2 linked regions of the Arabidopsis thaliana genome follow. The protein of the gene in region 2 interacts with the protein of the main gene of each other region in a biochemical or structural test. Each region holds a gene or a part of one and is shown on either strand. Other genes may lie near its edges. The genes, in order: FUS5 and EIF3E.

Evidence for each region.
Region 1: the proteins of EIF3E (region 2) and FUS5 form a complex in vitro, tested with the Arabidopsis thaliana proteins (one study listed by BioGRID).

What each region holds. Positions count from the first base shown.
Region 1 is NC_003070.9:383,719-391,420, reverse strand, and holds FUS5 (Proteasome component (PCI) domain protein), read left to right. Parts: upstream 1-1,612; 5' UTR 1,613-1,852; coding exon 1,853-2,011; intron 2,012-2,119; coding exon 2,120-2,195; intron 2,196-2,282; coding exon 2,283-2,371; intron 2,372-2,480; coding exon 2,481-2,570; intron 2,571-2,660; coding exon 2,661-2,705; intron 2,706-2,811; coding exon 2,812-2,882; intron 2,883-3,014; coding exon 3,015-3,153; coding exon of another isoform or gene 3,154-3,198; exon of another isoform or gene 3,199-3,748; coding exon 3,749-3,837; intron 3,838-3,917; coding exon 3,918-3,942; 3' UTR 3,943-4,144; downstream 4,145-7,702. Other genes in the region: SBI1 (Leucine carboxyl methyltransferase), read right to left, coding at 158-205, 298-418, 557-659, 857-938, 1,022-1,069, 1,171-1,384, 1,478-1,545; AT1G02080 (transcription regulator), read right to left, coding at 4,739-4,993, 5,088-5,288, 5,378-5,512, 5,604-5,708, 5,798-5,989, 6,097-6,250, 6,452-6,513, 6,581-6,727 and 3 more. UniProt on the Arabidopsis thaliana protein: Component of the COP9 signalosome complex (CSN), a complex involved in various cellular and developmental processes such as photomorphogenesis and auxin and jasmonate responses.
Region 2 is NC_003074.8:21,192,959-21,201,166, forward strand, and holds EIF3E (eukaryotic translation initiation factor 3E), read right to left. Parts: upstream 6,362-8,208; 5' UTR 6,116-6,361; coding exon 5,896-6,115; intron 5,798-5,895; coding exon 5,643-5,797; intron 5,535-5,642; coding exon 5,307-5,534; intron 5,218-5,306; coding exon 5,096-5,217; intron 4,776-5,095; coding exon 4,556-4,775; intron 4,477-4,555; coding exon 4,334-4,476; intron 4,138-4,333; coding exon 4,000-4,137; intron 3,928-3,999; coding exon 3,828-3,927; 3' UTR 3,559-3,827; downstream 1-3,558. Other genes in the region: BG1 (beta-1,3-glucanase 1), read right to left, coding at 91-160; AT3G57280 (Transmembrane proteins 14C), read left to right, coding at 1,002-1,100, 1,474-1,702, 1,809-1,976, 2,237-2,283, 2,364-2,404, 2,493-2,589; INO80 (DNA helicase INO80-like protein), read left to right, coding at 6,654-6,713, 6,918-7,005, 7,110-7,488, 7,610-8,042, 8,174-8,208. UniProt on the Arabidopsis thaliana protein: Component of the eukaryotic translation initiation factor 3 (eIF-3) complex, which is involved in protein synthesis of a specialized repertoire of mRNAs and, together with other initiation factors, stimulates binding of mRNA and methionyl-tRNAi to the 40S ribosome.

The sequences.
Region 1 (7,702 bases), on a different chromosome or scaffold from region 2:
TTTAAATGAAGGTAATTGATCAGTACAACATGAACCCATGTGGCAATACTAGAATATTTTAGTGTCATACTAGTATCCATATTTTGACAAAAATCTCAAAAAAGCTTTACTAATGAAGATGTCGCTGTAACTAGAGTAGTAGAGTACACGTTCTTACCTCCAAATTTCTAATCATTTGATGCCCAAATGCATCATCTGGATGGATCTGCAAACAGAAACCCAACGGGTTAGACACATAAGCAATAAGATTCGTATCTGCAATATTATGCAGACAAGGAAAATCACAGTTGAGCTAACCTGCTCATATAAGAAAAATACTGCAGTTGAAAACGTTTTTGACGACCAATTGACGATGGCACGGCTTGAATCGGGGTCCAGATAAATCAAAACACATTCTGCAATAATAAACGTCGGCAGACTGATAATGATATTAGGGATCAAGTAGGTCTATCACCAGTAAGTATCTGTTACCATATATCTTAAACCCGGGTAGAAGAAGAGGGTTGAAGGTTCAAGATAACAGTGTGTAAAATAAATAAAAATTATTCATGGATACCTTAGATCCATATCTGCAAAGGATATAACATCTCTTAATTTTGGTATATCGCGCAGGTCAACTGGAAGTAACTTGTAATGATCACTGAGAACTTGTCCTTCGTCTGTAGAGATAAACAGCCCAACGAGTTAAGAGTAAGCAACTGAAACTAGACGCTAACGGTACAAAGTAAAAGGGGGTGGTTGAGTTAGTAGCTAGTAGAAGCGGAATGAAGAAAAATATGAGTGCACAAGCTGAAATGCATCATAATGAAAAGGATCATTCTACATAATAATACATGGGGGGAAAAAAGGCTCTTACCAATAGAAATAGATGCATTGGCTCCTAGTTTGTCCCTGAGTTGGCTGGAGTTTTGTATAACAGCAGCCTTCTTGCTAGTCACCTAACGTAAGAAGCAAATCCATTTAGGCATTAGACTCAAAACACATGATGGATACTTTTGTCAGCACGCTCATCCAGTAGTACCTCCTTAAAATCAAGTTCCACATAGAGATTGGGCCCATTCCCCTCATCCTACAAAATGAGAAGAGAAGAAGCGAGAGATCCCTGGAATAAGCCGAAGAATGGTGAATTTGGTAAAAGCTAACAAAAAGGAGAAGAAAAAGAAGACGCACCAGCAACTGAAAATAGGTAGTATCAAAGCCAGCTCCGAGAGACAGTATCTGTTTCTTAGAACTTGTCCCGCTTAGAAGAAACTGAGACATAAGCTTTCGGAAGGCAGCCCAACGGGAAAAGTAACCTCGATTAATGATGGGAGATCTTCGAACAGGTCTTTTCACAAAGAGATGAACATAGTCGTCTTTCATATATCCCTTTTTGACACAAGACCTTTAAAAATATTATCTAGGCTCAAAGATCCACAACAACAACAAAAAAAAAAGAAGAGCCCTAATTAAAGAAGAGAGAAAGAGGTAGGCGTACAATTTACTGGCGGATGCATCGTCGTTAGTAGCCTGAACCGCCGCTCTGTTGCTGCGAGATTCCGCCATCGTCGTCGCTCTCTCAGCCAAAATGAAGGAAGAAGAATATTCAATAGTCTCTCTCTTCCCCGGGATTGTTTGGGCTCACCAGACGCGGTTTCTAATATTTCTCTTAGTAGGCCTTGGCCCAGAAACTACGAAATTTGAGCCCAATTATTAAACAAGATTCTAGAAGAATTCGGTCGGTCACATAAAAAAAACAGTAATATAAAAACGGAAGAAGGAAGGAGCAGAGAGAAGAAGTTTGGGATTTTATTCGTTATTAGTGTGGTAAGAAAGAAAACCCTAAACCACCGGAAATCGATTTGTTTGGAAGATGGATATCGAGCAGAAGCAAGCCGAGATCATTGATCAGCTCGTGAAGCGAGCTTCTACTTGCAAATCCGAGGCTCTGGGCCCGCTCATCATCGAAGCCACATCGCATCCTTCTCTCTTCGCCTTCTCCGAGATTTTGGCTCTACCCAATGTTGCCCAGGTACTACTACTTTATGCTTTTCACGATCTAGGGTTTTACATGCTTTTGTTCTTCGCTGATCATAACAACTTGATAGATACTAGTAGCTGATTAATCGTAATTGTGCAGCTTGAAGGAACCACAGATTCTGTGTACCTGGATCTACTACGCTTGTTTGCCCATGGCACCTGGGGAGACTACAAATGTATGACCCCTTTGTCATATGCTATTTCAATTCGTTTTCCCTTTTGTCATATTCTCTCCTCTTGACTTGCTTTCATCGAAACACTAGGCAATGCCACCCGTCTTCCGCACTTGTCCCCTGACCAAATTCTTAAGCTTAAGCAGCTCACTGTCCTCACCCTTGCTGAGTCTAACAAGGTATATTTGTCTTAGGTTCATGATTTGCTCCTGCTATCTACTCTGTTCCATTATCTTTTTCCCCTGCTGTTTGCCTAACTGAATGTCTCTCTCACTCTGCTTGTTATAGGTATTGCCCTATGATACACTAATGGTCGAGTTAGATGTTTCCAATGTTCGCGAACTCGAGGACTTTCTTATCAATGAATGCATGTATGCGGTGAGTACTCTTTAGCAGTCTTCTAATCTCTATTTGACAACTAACTGTGACAACGCATGGTGCTCATTTTTTTTCTTTTACACTTTGCAGGGTATAGTTAGGGGAAAACTGGATCAGTTAAAAAGATGTTTTGAGGTGTGTTTTGGTTTGGGCCTCCTTTTCCTATTTTAACCATTGTGCTTTGTTTCTAAACGTACGAGCCCCCCCTTCTAAACATCATATATCTCTTGCAACCATGCAGGTTCCGTTTGCAGCTGGTAGGGATCTAAGGCCAGGTCAACTAGGGAATATGTTACACACATTGTCCAACTGGTAGTTTTCTTCTTCCCTTAGATCCAGGATTTTTTGCCTTCTATATCTAATTATAAGAACTTGTACGTGATGTTAGAATACATGGCTAATGACGTCCTACTCTTTTATGTGTTGGCCCAAATTGATGTCTAGGTTGAACACGTCAGAGAATCTGCTCATTTCAATTCAAGACAAGATCAAATGGGCGGACAATATGAGTGAGATGGACAAAAAACATCGTAAGGAAGCAGAAGAAGGGGTGGAAGAAGTGAAGAAGTCTCTGTCCATGAAGGTCAGTCGCGCTTGGAGTCCTATTGGCTTCACTTTTCCCTACTAAGTATATTATGTAACTAATATTGGTTACATTCTTTCTTGGTTACTGTCTTGTGACCATGAGTTAGAGTCCAGTCAGCTATTCTGTCTTATATTTCTTCAGAGAATTGTAGTGGGTTTCTTCTTATTAATAGCTTAGGTCTATGTAAGCGGGGATGGGAGAGACTTGATAAAAAAATCTTTCTAGGTCTTTGAGCTTTCCAAGTCCAGTCCTATCATAGATTAAAAAGTTATGTTTCTTAATAACAAACGAATCGATCAGCCAACTGTGGCGGGCTTTTTTAACCGTTCTTTCGTGGAACAAGAAATCTTACATGTTGGATGTAAACATATATTATGAAGTTTTCTTTAATTAAAAACAAACAAGGAACGCAATCACAACGGCTGTTAGTGAAGTGTTAAAGTCATTAGAGGACATGAATTGTTTGGAATGGTAGTACTTGGTTATTGTCTGATTGTTAAATGAAATGAAACAAGGTTCGTTTGGTTTTTTGTGTCTGAAATATGATTGGGAAGGGTGGTGGTCGATATAGTCTTACTTACGTTGTGGGCAGGGGGATGTTGACATCAGAGGGAATAAGGAGATGTTTGGGGAACCAAGTGGAGTGATGGACTACGAAGAAGATGGGATCCGACCAAAGAGGTAACGAATATTAGATATGAGTGAGATGATAAGTACAAAGGAGATGATATAACATACACACATTCAACTTTGGAACGCAGGAGGAGGCATCCTGTAACAAGGTAGAGGAGCAAGAGAGAGCAAATGGTCAGTGCGGATTGACATTCCATTTACCGAGAGTAGATTATGATTATTTGGTTGCGGATTTTCAACTTGTATAAGATCCTCTGTTCTCTCTCACAATAACCCCTTGTTATGTTTGATTTCCCTCATTAGCAAATTTGGTGTCTCTCTGCCCATTAAAAGAAAAATGGCTTTGAATTTAGTATTCAGTAATCAATAGTCTTGACACTTGAGCAAAGCTAGGCGCTTGGATCATATGGAATGATACAGATATTCTCAGTGTTCCGTCTTTTGACCACTAGCCAGCGCCTTGGCCCCTCACATGTTGAAACCTGCTTAGTCTGCGACAGCTGCCTCTTAGGCGGGCATGAAAGTGTTGTTTATTACGTCATCGACTAGATCCCACCATCGGAATTCTGACCGAAACATGTTCCTGAGAACGTTATACAAAGTACTAGTAGTCTAGTACTATATGATGACAATCCCTGCCGATTTCTCACACTCCCTCAGCATAATCATAATCTCTTTCAGTGTTTATGGTCATGTTTTATGACCATGAAAACACAATCCCCGCCGATTTCTCAAACATGTTTTCACCTAACTAATTCTCAAACAGACCCTTAAGAGCAAGGATAAAGGAATAATAGTGTTTTTTTTTTTTGTAATTAGAAAACATGTTTGTGAATCTTGAAGTTAAATAAATAAACTAAGACTCCTAAAATCTCTCCTACTGTATGTATAATTGTTACAACATAATATCAAAATACGCATACATATATACAAGTTGAAAGCTAAAGAGCTAGTGAGAATTGTCTGAGACCCAACCTCCCGAAACCATTCCCTCGTCGACAGGCTTCAGGCCACCACAGGATCTGGCTACCGATTCAAACAGCTTCTCAATCTCAGGCGCACATCTGATGAAGGCTTGTTTCCAGAAGCTATATCTTGGGTTCTTTATTAGCTCAATGAATGTGATTAGAAGTCCCCATGGATGTGGCCTGTTCACAATTAGCCGTTCCAACAGCACTCTAGTTATTTGCTCCTGTATGATCTCCTGTTTCATTCATCCCAAGAAAAAGAAAAAAAAAATCAGATTTCCATGCTCACTAATTTTTCCACACAACTCTTGACAAGCAAAGCAAACTCACCTGATCAGATTCGAAGAATAGATAGAGCATGATGAAAGAAAAGTAATGAGTGTGGTTGTTGGGGTATCGAAGCTGATTGGCGATTGCATTAAGGAACAGATACCGCCCTTCCGTATCAAGTTCCATACTTAAATACTTGAACATCTGCAAGGCCACAACATTTTGAGCCTGTGTCTCACCGGCCTGAAGCTGCTGAATAGCCTGTTATCGCAATGTCGGTTATTTGCATATATATATATATAATAAACTAGAAATCAAAAGAAAAGGCTGTATAGAAATTAGACCCATACCTGCATTCCAGTATATAGCACAAGCGAGTTGATCAATGGTACACTGTAACGGGTTCCAGCTGAACTAGCCTCGCTGGACGATAGAAGTAACTTTGTCTTCAACTCACTTAGGAAAGTTGAATTTTGCTGCCTCGACTGCAGAAAAATTATATGAGTATCTCTTGATATAATCTCAAGAATACCAAAGTGAATATAAGTAAATTGAAGAATCAGGTGTTCCCATTACCGTAAGATACTCATCCACGTCATTCTTCATTTGCTTTGCCTTTAGCGCAGCATCAACCTCAGAAAGGATACAGGGAGCTTCTACTATCTCAGGTAACAAATCAATCTGCAATGAACACGATAATTCAGCCTACAAGGAATATATTTTCTTTAAAATATGTTGAACATGCTGGAATCTCCACTATCATCTCGTACCTTTAAATTTGGGGTAGAAGGATCAGGAAGCCTCATGTTCCGTGGAAAAGAACTGAGGATAATATTCCGCATTTGTATGCAACTTGAAGGAATCACATCACAGAAAGTAAAATGATAATCACATAGGAACTCTGGGAAATCATGAAGCAGAACCAGTAATACTCTCAATGTCCCTTTGTATAGGAAATGAACCTACGCAATTAATAAACACACCAAAAAAGAGACCACTTTAAGTTACCATCGACTATATCCTTTAGTGTCCAATGCAAAACAATTACAGAAGAGAAAAAGGCACAAACCGGTCCTCCGAGTTCAGCATTTCTTAAAAATGGCTCAAGAAACTGAAGCAAGTCCACCAGCAGGCGCTGAACATATGGCCAACCCTTCTGGCCATTTACTGTAAGTAGTTTGGGCATGAAGCTTCTGTGGCTGACAAGTTCTAGCCATGCAAAACTGGAAAAATTTATAAAAACCTCAGTGGAGAAGAAAAAAAATGTATAAAACACGGATCACAGATCAAAGAAAAGAAGATACATATGTCAACAACATGAAATGTTTGACAACATAGGTATTTGACTGCCCTCAAATTTCCTGAGAGATTCAAATTTTTAAGTTTTAATAGAAGCACGGTGAGAAATAGGTTTGTGTCCTAACCTGAAAGCAGGAATCTTAAGAGGCTGCAATGCGTGGAAGGCGTTGGCAAAAGCTGTGAGAACCTGCAACAAAAGATTAATTAAAGTGATAACAATTAATAGCAGCTACTTCAAGGACAACAAAATGCACCTGAAAGTTTGCACCATCCGTCCCAGGATCCAGGGAACACAAGTCCAGTAGCCAGTTGATGAACAATCGGAAATATGGTTTAGAATTGAGTGATGTCTTTTTATCTTCTGCGTCCTTTTGAATAAATCTCACTGTGTCAGCCATGATCTGAAACAGGTAATCAATACCACTCACCTTTTCCATCCATTATAGTAGAAGTTAGATTTATTTCCAATAAGAGTATGTGTCCCCTTACCTCTGAAAGAAGAAATAACCTACTGCTAGACTCCTGCTCAGGGAAATACTGAACAGATTGTCATAAGAAACAAACAAAACAAAAAAAGCTTAGCCGGCAATGTATTTTGGGTATAATTATCCACGAAGAATGCAAAAAAAAAAATGAGCACTCTACCTTCAATATTGAAAAAACAAGCTTTGCATACATATCAATGATAAGGAATGATGGACTCTGAGGTTGCTGAGGAGATTGCACAGCACCGGAATTAATATCTTCAGAAGATATACAATGAGCAACAGAAAGTTCCTACAGAAAGGAAAGCCAAAATCAATAATGATGCCTCTCAAGATTTGAAAGTGCTGATGCTAAAACATTCTTAAAAGGTAAAATCACCAGAAGAATTCGGAAAAAACTCTCTGTTGTATCATCTCCCTTAAGTAATCCAGTCTGGTGCAAATGCAGGACATATTGTGAACATGCGGTTTCATTTGCACCAGGAAGTTCGCAGATTTGATACCAGTTTTTAAATAGCGTGGACACCTGCCAAACCATACAGAGGAAGACAAAAACAAGATATAAACAAGAAGTACGAGAGATGTATGTTCAAACATAAAACTGAAGAGATAACAAACTACAAACACATGTATCTAAATACATCGAATTAAAGTGAAAATTTAAAATCCATCTACAAGACAAAAATAAGGAAAAAAACATGCATACTGAACGAAAATAGCTTCATAGAAACGTTTGTTTTGAAATCCTTTTTGTAGCTTGCAAATTCATTGTGCTGATACAAACATTTTAGCTTTTGATTTACTCTTTTGCAAGTGAAAAATTTAGATATATGCAATTCCCAATCAACTTTTAAAAAAGAAAAGGTAGAGCTCTAAATCAATATAGAAGTT
Region 2 (8,208 bases):
TTGATTACTCTATGTCAGGGTGATATTATAATATAATCACACATGTTATATTTTCTATATACATAATGAAATAAAGAGGTATTAAGTGACCTGTTGGATTTGTATTGACGAAGAATAGACCGAGAAGAAGGGTCAAGGACGCCAAGAATCGGAGATCCATCGTCGTTAGGTGAAGAAAGAGATGATTTGTAGAAAATTAAGAGCGAGGTGGAAATCATTTACTGTTATGACATTGATCCTAGCTAGCATAAACAATATATATAGTAAATTCTAGAGAAAGAACATTAATATATAACCAAATGTAAAATGTCAATATGAAACTAAAATTAATACACGGAATTAGGCAACAAGATAAAATAATGAGTTGGTAATCTCTGAATAATTAATACAATGGTGTAATATATGGTAAGCTACATAATCAGAGACAGAGAGAGACATTTGTCTTTCTTGACTCTTCATAAGTGCACTCACAAGTCAAACAACGCGTGTGATTTATGAGGGCTTAGCCGTTAAAGGTGTGGTTGAAATCAAGTAAAGAACTTTAATTCAGACAAAATCAAATGCTGGTTGGGCTAACCAAAACTACTAGTAATACTAATGGTCTTTAAACGAAATGAGCCCAATAAAGAACCTGAGACAAATCTGAGCCCACTTGAAAGCTAAAAGCCGCCTAAAAAGGAAACCTAAGCTTAAACCAGCTAAACCGAAATAATTAAATGGATTCGTTTTTTCTCATCTCCGATCCCTAAAGTCAAAGATTAAACCACACTAAACCGAAATTGTCATATGCGCGTAATTTCTTCGCAACATTTTGACCGAACAACTTCAAAATCAAACGAGCGGACGGTCAAGATTGTCCGATCAGTATCGTCTTTTTAGTCAGTCAGTCCTGAACGCCGGCTAGATCAACCACTCCATCTCTCGTGCTGACCACGCTCCGATTCTCCATTTCTTTCCCTTTTGACTTTTCACTTCCAATTTTTCGGTATCAGATCTGGACGATGGCTTCACAAATCTCTCAGCTTGCTTGTTTCTCATCCACCAATCGCCAATTTCACTTCCAAAGCCGATCGTTTCCATGCCCTATGATTCGTCCCCAGGTAAATATCTCGATATCGCATGAAAAAGACTTGGAATTTACTCATCTCGATTAGATTACGTCCATGCCCAATACTCTATTTGTTCTACTTTTCCTGATTACTCTCAAAAACGTTTGAGCTTGATTGATTTAGTCGTAATCGAATATTTGCTTTTGTTTTCTAGAAATGGTTCTCCTTGAGACTTGAATTGCTTCTCTGTTTTCTCTGGTTGAGTTGGTTGGGAATGTACCATGTCTTCAATAACAAAAATTGCCTTTTTGTTCACCTTTTTGATTGTCTCTATGTGCTAATTATCATATGTTGAGCTCTCTTCTAAATTTTTTGGGATTGATAGTGTCTCCACTAGTGGCTTATTGGCTATAAATTGGTTCAGTCTTTTGTAGTTAAAAGTGTTGATGGGAATAGCTCTGAAACACCAGCTTCTCTAAGCTATACAGCTGAGGTTTCAAAACCTGTTGTTGAGAAAACATCCAAACCGTATTCCACTGTTGATGAAACTGCTACCAATAAAGAGAGCATCACAGAGCCAGTAGAGGAAGATGTTGCCACACAACCAATAAGAGCAGCAAAGATCCACGACTTCTGTTTCGGCATTCCTTATGGTACTACTTTGTGACTCTCAAACTTTCTTTCAAATCTTAGCATTTCTAGCAAAGAGTTGCTTATTGTCAGGTAACACGCTGGTGTTAATAAATGATACTTTTTCAGGTGGTCTCGTTGTGAGTGGAGGGCTTCTTGGTTTTGCGTTTTCACGAAATCTTACAAGTTTAAGTACTGGTGTCCTCTATGGTGGTGGCCTTCTAGCCCTTAGTACACTGAGCTTAAAGATTTGGCGAGAGGGAAAATCTAGTTTCCCTTATATACTAGGACAAGCAGGTAATCTTCATTTATTGTCTGCAGGAACAGTAGGGGATATTTTGTTACCACGACTTTTTTTCATCTCTAATTCATTACATCAAGTAATTACTGGTATCTTACTCATGATAAGTGGATATTAAAATCGAGATAAGTATACTGTGTCATGCTATGAAGTGGTCATCTCTGAACATTATGTGCCTATGATTCTCTATAAGAAATGTTCATTTTATCTATGAAAGCATTTGTGCTTACTCATTTTTCTAAACCTGAAATTGCAGTGCTTTCAGCTGTCGTCTTCTGGAAGAACTTCACAGCTTATTCGATGGTATTCATTATCTTTGTGATCATGCTGATTGTTTATTTTTGCTTGCTTGACTTCAACTGCTTAATGTTGTACTTATGCAGACTAAGAAGCTGTTTCCGGCCGGGGTTTTTGCTGTCATCAGGTAAGAAATACGTCTTGTGATCTACAACAGATTCTGATGATCTTTCGTGGATTCATGTAACCGTGTGTTTACGTCTTTTTCATTGCAGTGCTTGCATGTTGTGTTTCTATTCATATGTGGTGCTCTCTGGAGGAAACCCACCTCCAAAGAAATTGAAACCATCTGCGACTAGTCCTTCATACTGAAGGGACTTTACATAGGTTTAGATTTAAAAAAGTGGAGATCTTCTCTCTTTTGATAACTCTGGTCTGTTGGATTACTGGTGTAATTTTATACTCTTTACGAATTGATACACTTGGTTTTGTTTGTGACCTGTTCTTTCCAGTGTCATAATCTAAAGTTTTGATTTTCTTATTTGTGAGATATGCTTTGATTGTCTATATTCGAATATCATAGTAATAAATAAATAAAAAGAGATAAAGAAAGAAGACTAAAACATAAGTAATATAGAAAAGTTATTGCTAGCTCAATCCTGAAACAATAATAAGAAATAATGCGTCTACCAGTTATACAGTGAGTAAACTTGGGAAATAAGCGATAGAAAGTTAGAAACCCCTTTATGCTGAAATTTAAAAGCTAAAATCATAAGAATTTTGTTCCGGATCATGTATAATTAAAGTACGGCCAGTTATCTTCCAATTATGAAGCAAAATCTTATTTTTCTGAAATGTTGTGATTGTTTTTGTTGGCAAATTCGGATGGCGGCGACACCAAATGGAAGTTCTATTCAAATCAATCGAATACGTCTTCTCCCATTTCTTGCGAGAGTTTAATGACCATATCTCTTGTTTCATGTCCTTCCCCTCTGATATACACAAACGGTCCTTCATGTTGCTTATAGTAACTCGACCATCAGTGGTAAATGGTATTTTCATACTCGCTTCAAAAGATCCACTGGAAAGATCAAAACACACTATATGCCATTTCCATTGCATGTTGTGTTTCTATTCTTATGTGGTACTCTCTGGAGGGCACCCACCTCCAAAGAAATTGAATTTATCTTCTCTCTTTTGATGACTCTGGCGAGTTGGACTTCTGGAGTAACTTTATACTATTTACGAATTGATATACTTGTTTTGTTTGTGACCTGTTCTTTCCACTGTCATAGTCTTAACTCTTAAGTTTTGTTTTTCTTACTTCTGTTATATGCTATTATTGTACTTACTATTACGCAAATCAGAGATGCTCAATGTAAGGCAGTAATTTACGTTGGCTTGCAAAAACCTTTAAATGCTTAGGGTGGATACAAAATGCTGATTTGGTTGGAAAATGTTCCAATCTGTGGATCCAACATTTCAAATAGAACAACTCCATAATAATCTTTTTCAAAGTAAAAGGTGAACTCAGAGCAAGAAAAAGAAAATAATTCCAGTCAACCGAAGGTGAGTTTTATCAAGGAAAGGCTTCCACAGCAAAATTTTGACTAGCGAGTTGCTTGCGCCTGTGTGTGTTCCAAGAGCTGATTCACTAACTTGTATGTTCGTCCTGATAAGCCTTTGGTGTGGTTTATCAACTGCTCATGCCTGCATAAAGCGGAAACAAGATTAGATTGTAGAATACGAATGATATCATAGATTTAAGCTTATTCTACTTACACGTTGGGCTGAGTAGGCTCCATGATTACAGTTCCTGACTCAGAATCAATCTTGGCATCAAGCTTTGAGGTGCGGATTAGGTTCACAATCCATCTCTCGGCCTCCTCATAGTTCAGATTCAATTTTTCAGCAAGTACCCTGACAAGGGAAATATAGGCTCGACATGAGTACAAAGTTAAACCACAAGACCGCAACAATTCTTCTCAACTTAAATAGCTGGATATGGCAATTTTCATGTGTTGGGAAAGATAAGGAATAGAGAAAATTCCAAACATTGAGCAATCCGGAGAGCAGAGTTATGTGTAAACATATACAACCAAATGTGAGAACTTACCCCATGTCAATCCTTTGATGAATTTTGCAATAGGTTTCAAAGACGAATAGGCGGGCATTTTCAAGAAATTCATCTCTCAGTGGTACAGTTGAAAAGTTTCCATCCTCAACTCGCTTGCCAAGGAATGGATCATTCACAATGACCTACATCATGTTAAAATGTCAGAGTATTGATTGCACAGTTCTGCACAAACAAAAATATCTATACATGTGGATGAGTTACCTCTTCACACTCTTTCATCTTCTTTTGAGCCCCATCAAAGTCATAATTGACAAACACACATGCCAGGAACTCGATAATTGGATCTTTGTAGGAGTAGTGCTCTTGCTGAATGACCTTAATGAATTCTTTCAATTGTGGTCTTCTCCTTTTGTTGACAATGAAAGCAGTTGCCAAGTAGCGCAGCAAGTGTGGAGCACTAGTTTGGATGGCATTCAGATACCTGAAAAAGTAAATCAAATTAGTATACAGAACTGCAGCATGAAAACAAAGTGAATTATTTTTCAGCAAATGCCCATACACAAAGCACAATCTTAAGAATAGGTCTGGATGAAAAGAAGGAGAAGACTCTAAAACTAGTGACTGCTAATTACTTGTAGGCACATCAGGACTAACATTAACTATAAACAAAGTTCTACACACAAACACCACCTATACATAACTTCATCGCATCTAGATCATGCTTATCTTAAAACGCAAGGAAATAGATGGTGATGAAAGGTATAAAGAAGAGATGCAGATAACAGAGAGGTAGAGGCTTACTTGTCTTGGTTAAAAAGATCAATGATCTGTGTCCTTCCATTATCATGGTTAAAAAAGATATACAGACCCCAATGCATCAACCAAATCCTGTTCTGCACCTGGTTTAACGGCGATGAAAAACTCTGAAAAAACAAATGGTAGTTAGCATATATACTCTCACATCTATATTGATTTCAAAGGTCGCAAACTAGAAGAAGTTTTAAATACTAACCTTTGAGTCAATAATCTCTTTGAGACGGTTAAGCTCTTCAAGAGCAATATCCCAGTTTTGCATCAATATTTCAGATGCGAGCTTTCCCCACAAGGCACTCAAACTCCTCTCAAGGTTAGAGCACAGGGTCCTGTACTGGTAAAGATAATCAGCAGCACCAGAATAGTTGCCACATTCAAACTGAAACTTGGCGTACTGGTACAAAGCCTCAATCTGGTCTGGACCAATCTGATAAGACACCAAGCCATATAAGATTTGTGTTCCACAATACACAAACAAAACCAAATCTGGATAACATTTCACAAAATTAAACAACTTAATCATCCAAATCACAACCTGGTAGCGTTCCTTGAGCATTTGGAGATTGTACTGCTTGTCAGCTCTTAGCTCCTGCACAGCGTTAGGGTTCAAAAGAAAAGACACGAGTGGTGCAGCAGCCTCCTCCAAAGATTTGAGCCTAGCGACAACCTCTGTTCTTCTCTCCACCATTTCTATCACCACAAATTTCAACATTCATCATCAAACAAACAAACCAGTACACAAAAACGCAAATTCACAGACATATCCAGAGAGGAATACACAAGAATACCTTGAGGAGCGTCTTCAGTGTGGTAGAGACTCTTGTGAATATCCATGGCGTAATCAACCATGTTCGTCTGGTTCAAAAGCTGGATTTTAGACTTCAGGATCTGCTCATCAGGGTAAAGCTGACGCTCTTGAAGGAACTCGAATATAGGAAACACCAAGTGTCTGTCCAGGTTAGGCGCTATTAGTGGCGTCAGGTCATAGTTCTGTTTGCTTTCCTCCATCGTCGCTAATCTCTCAATCTCCGCCGCTTCCCGCACTGGCAAAATCTTCTTAAGACGGCAGAGATGAAGTTTCAGAGACGACGAGGTAAAAAATCCTGTATATTGAAATTAGGGTTTTCTCGAATATGAGCTTTCAATATTTATAAATTCGCCCCTTTACTTCTTATATATTGTTGTTTACCCCACAAGGTATTTTTATCTCCAAAACGATAACTTAGCCGTCGTTATCTGATCGGCCGGTACCGGAGGGGTTAAGAAAAAATAATAATTAAATGTTTTTTGTGGAGAGGCGCACGGTAAGAAGCTTTATTCGTTTGGCGTATGTTAGTAGTCTGGACTTCTTTCTGTACCGCCTGTGTCCACTAACTTGCGCATGTTCGTCTTTAACCTTTCGCCCTCTTCCTCTATCATACTGGATTAGGGTTCTTCTTCGAGACGAACTCTTTTTCTTTCTCGTGACGAATGTTTCTGTCTAGAAGCTTTTAAGGATTAAGACTCTCCAAAATTTTGACGCCGTGTTATTCTCTTCCCGTCTCTCATGGATCCTTCAAGACGACCACCGAAGGACTCTCCTTACGCGAATCTATTCGATCTCGAGGTCTGTTAGGTCTCAATTTTTTTGTGATTTCCTTGAAATTGATGGTTTGTACTTGTTGGATGATGATCATGTGACTGTGATGAATGTAGTTTTGGTGATTGGAAATCTTGCAATTGTATAGCTTCTCCTTGTTTCTACAGTGTGTTTTTGTTTTACTGTTGAAATTCAGTGTGGGTTTTGTGGCTAAATTCTTCATTCTTGCAGCCGTTGATGAAGTTTAGAATTCCGAAACCTGAAGATGAAGTTGATTATTATGGGAGTAGTAGCCAGGATGAAAGTAGAAGCACTCAAGGTACAGTTTTTAATTGGTTTTATGGAATTACTTTTGCCACCTACTGTGATAGTTTTAAGTGACGTTTATCTGTGTTCTGTCTATATGGTTGGTAATGGTTAAAGGTGGGGTAGTGGCAAACTACAGCAATGGGTCTAAATCGAGAATGAATGCGAGCTCCAAGAAGAGAAAGCGGTGGACAGAAGCTGAGGATGCAGAGGACGATGATGATCTCTACAATCAACATGTTACTGAGGAGCACTACCGATCAATGCTTGGGGAGCATGTACAAAAATTCAAAAATAGGTCCAAGGAGACTCAAGGGAATCCTCCTCATCTGATGGGTTTTCCGGTGCTAAAGAGCAATGTGGGCAGTTACAGAGGTAGGAAACCAGGGAATGATTACCATGGGAGGTTCTATGACATGGACAACTCTCCAAATTTTGCAGCTGATGTGACCCCACATAGGCGAGGAAGCTACCATGATCGTGATATTACACCCAAGTATGTTGATCATATGTTTTTTCATGTTCCATGGGATCCGTGTAACCCTGTGTAATCCGCTTAGATAACTTACGGTGTTGGGTTTCCTAGATTGACACGTTGAATTTTGCATCATTTGCAGGATAGCATATGAACCTTCGTATTTGGACATTGGTGATGGTGTCATCTACAAAATCCCCCCAAGTTATGACAAGCTGGTGGCATCATTAAACTTACCGAGCTTTTCAGACATTCATGTGGAAGAATTTTACTTGAAAGGAACTCTGGATCTGAGATCATTAGCAGAACTGATGGCAAGTGATAAAAGGTCTGGAGTAAGAAGCCGTAATGGAATGGGTGAGCCTCGACCTCAATATGAATCTCTTCAAGCTAGAATGAAGGCCCTGTCACCTTCAAACTCCACCCCAAATTTTAGCCTCAAGGTGTCAGAAGCTGCAATGAATTCTGCCATTCCAGAAGGATCTGCTGGAAGTACTGCACGGACAATTCTGTCTGAGGGTGGTGTTTTACAGGTCCATTACGTGAAGATTCTGGAGAAGGGGGATACATACGAGGTTTGGATTCTGTGGCAGTATTTTATGAATCATAGTTTTGAATCCTTCATGGCTCATTCATGGCTCATTCATGGCTTTATTAACAACATTATCTTTTTGTTCCGACATTGTTTTATGTATCCTTTCTTCAGATTGTTAAACGAAGTCTACCGAAGAAGCTGAAAGC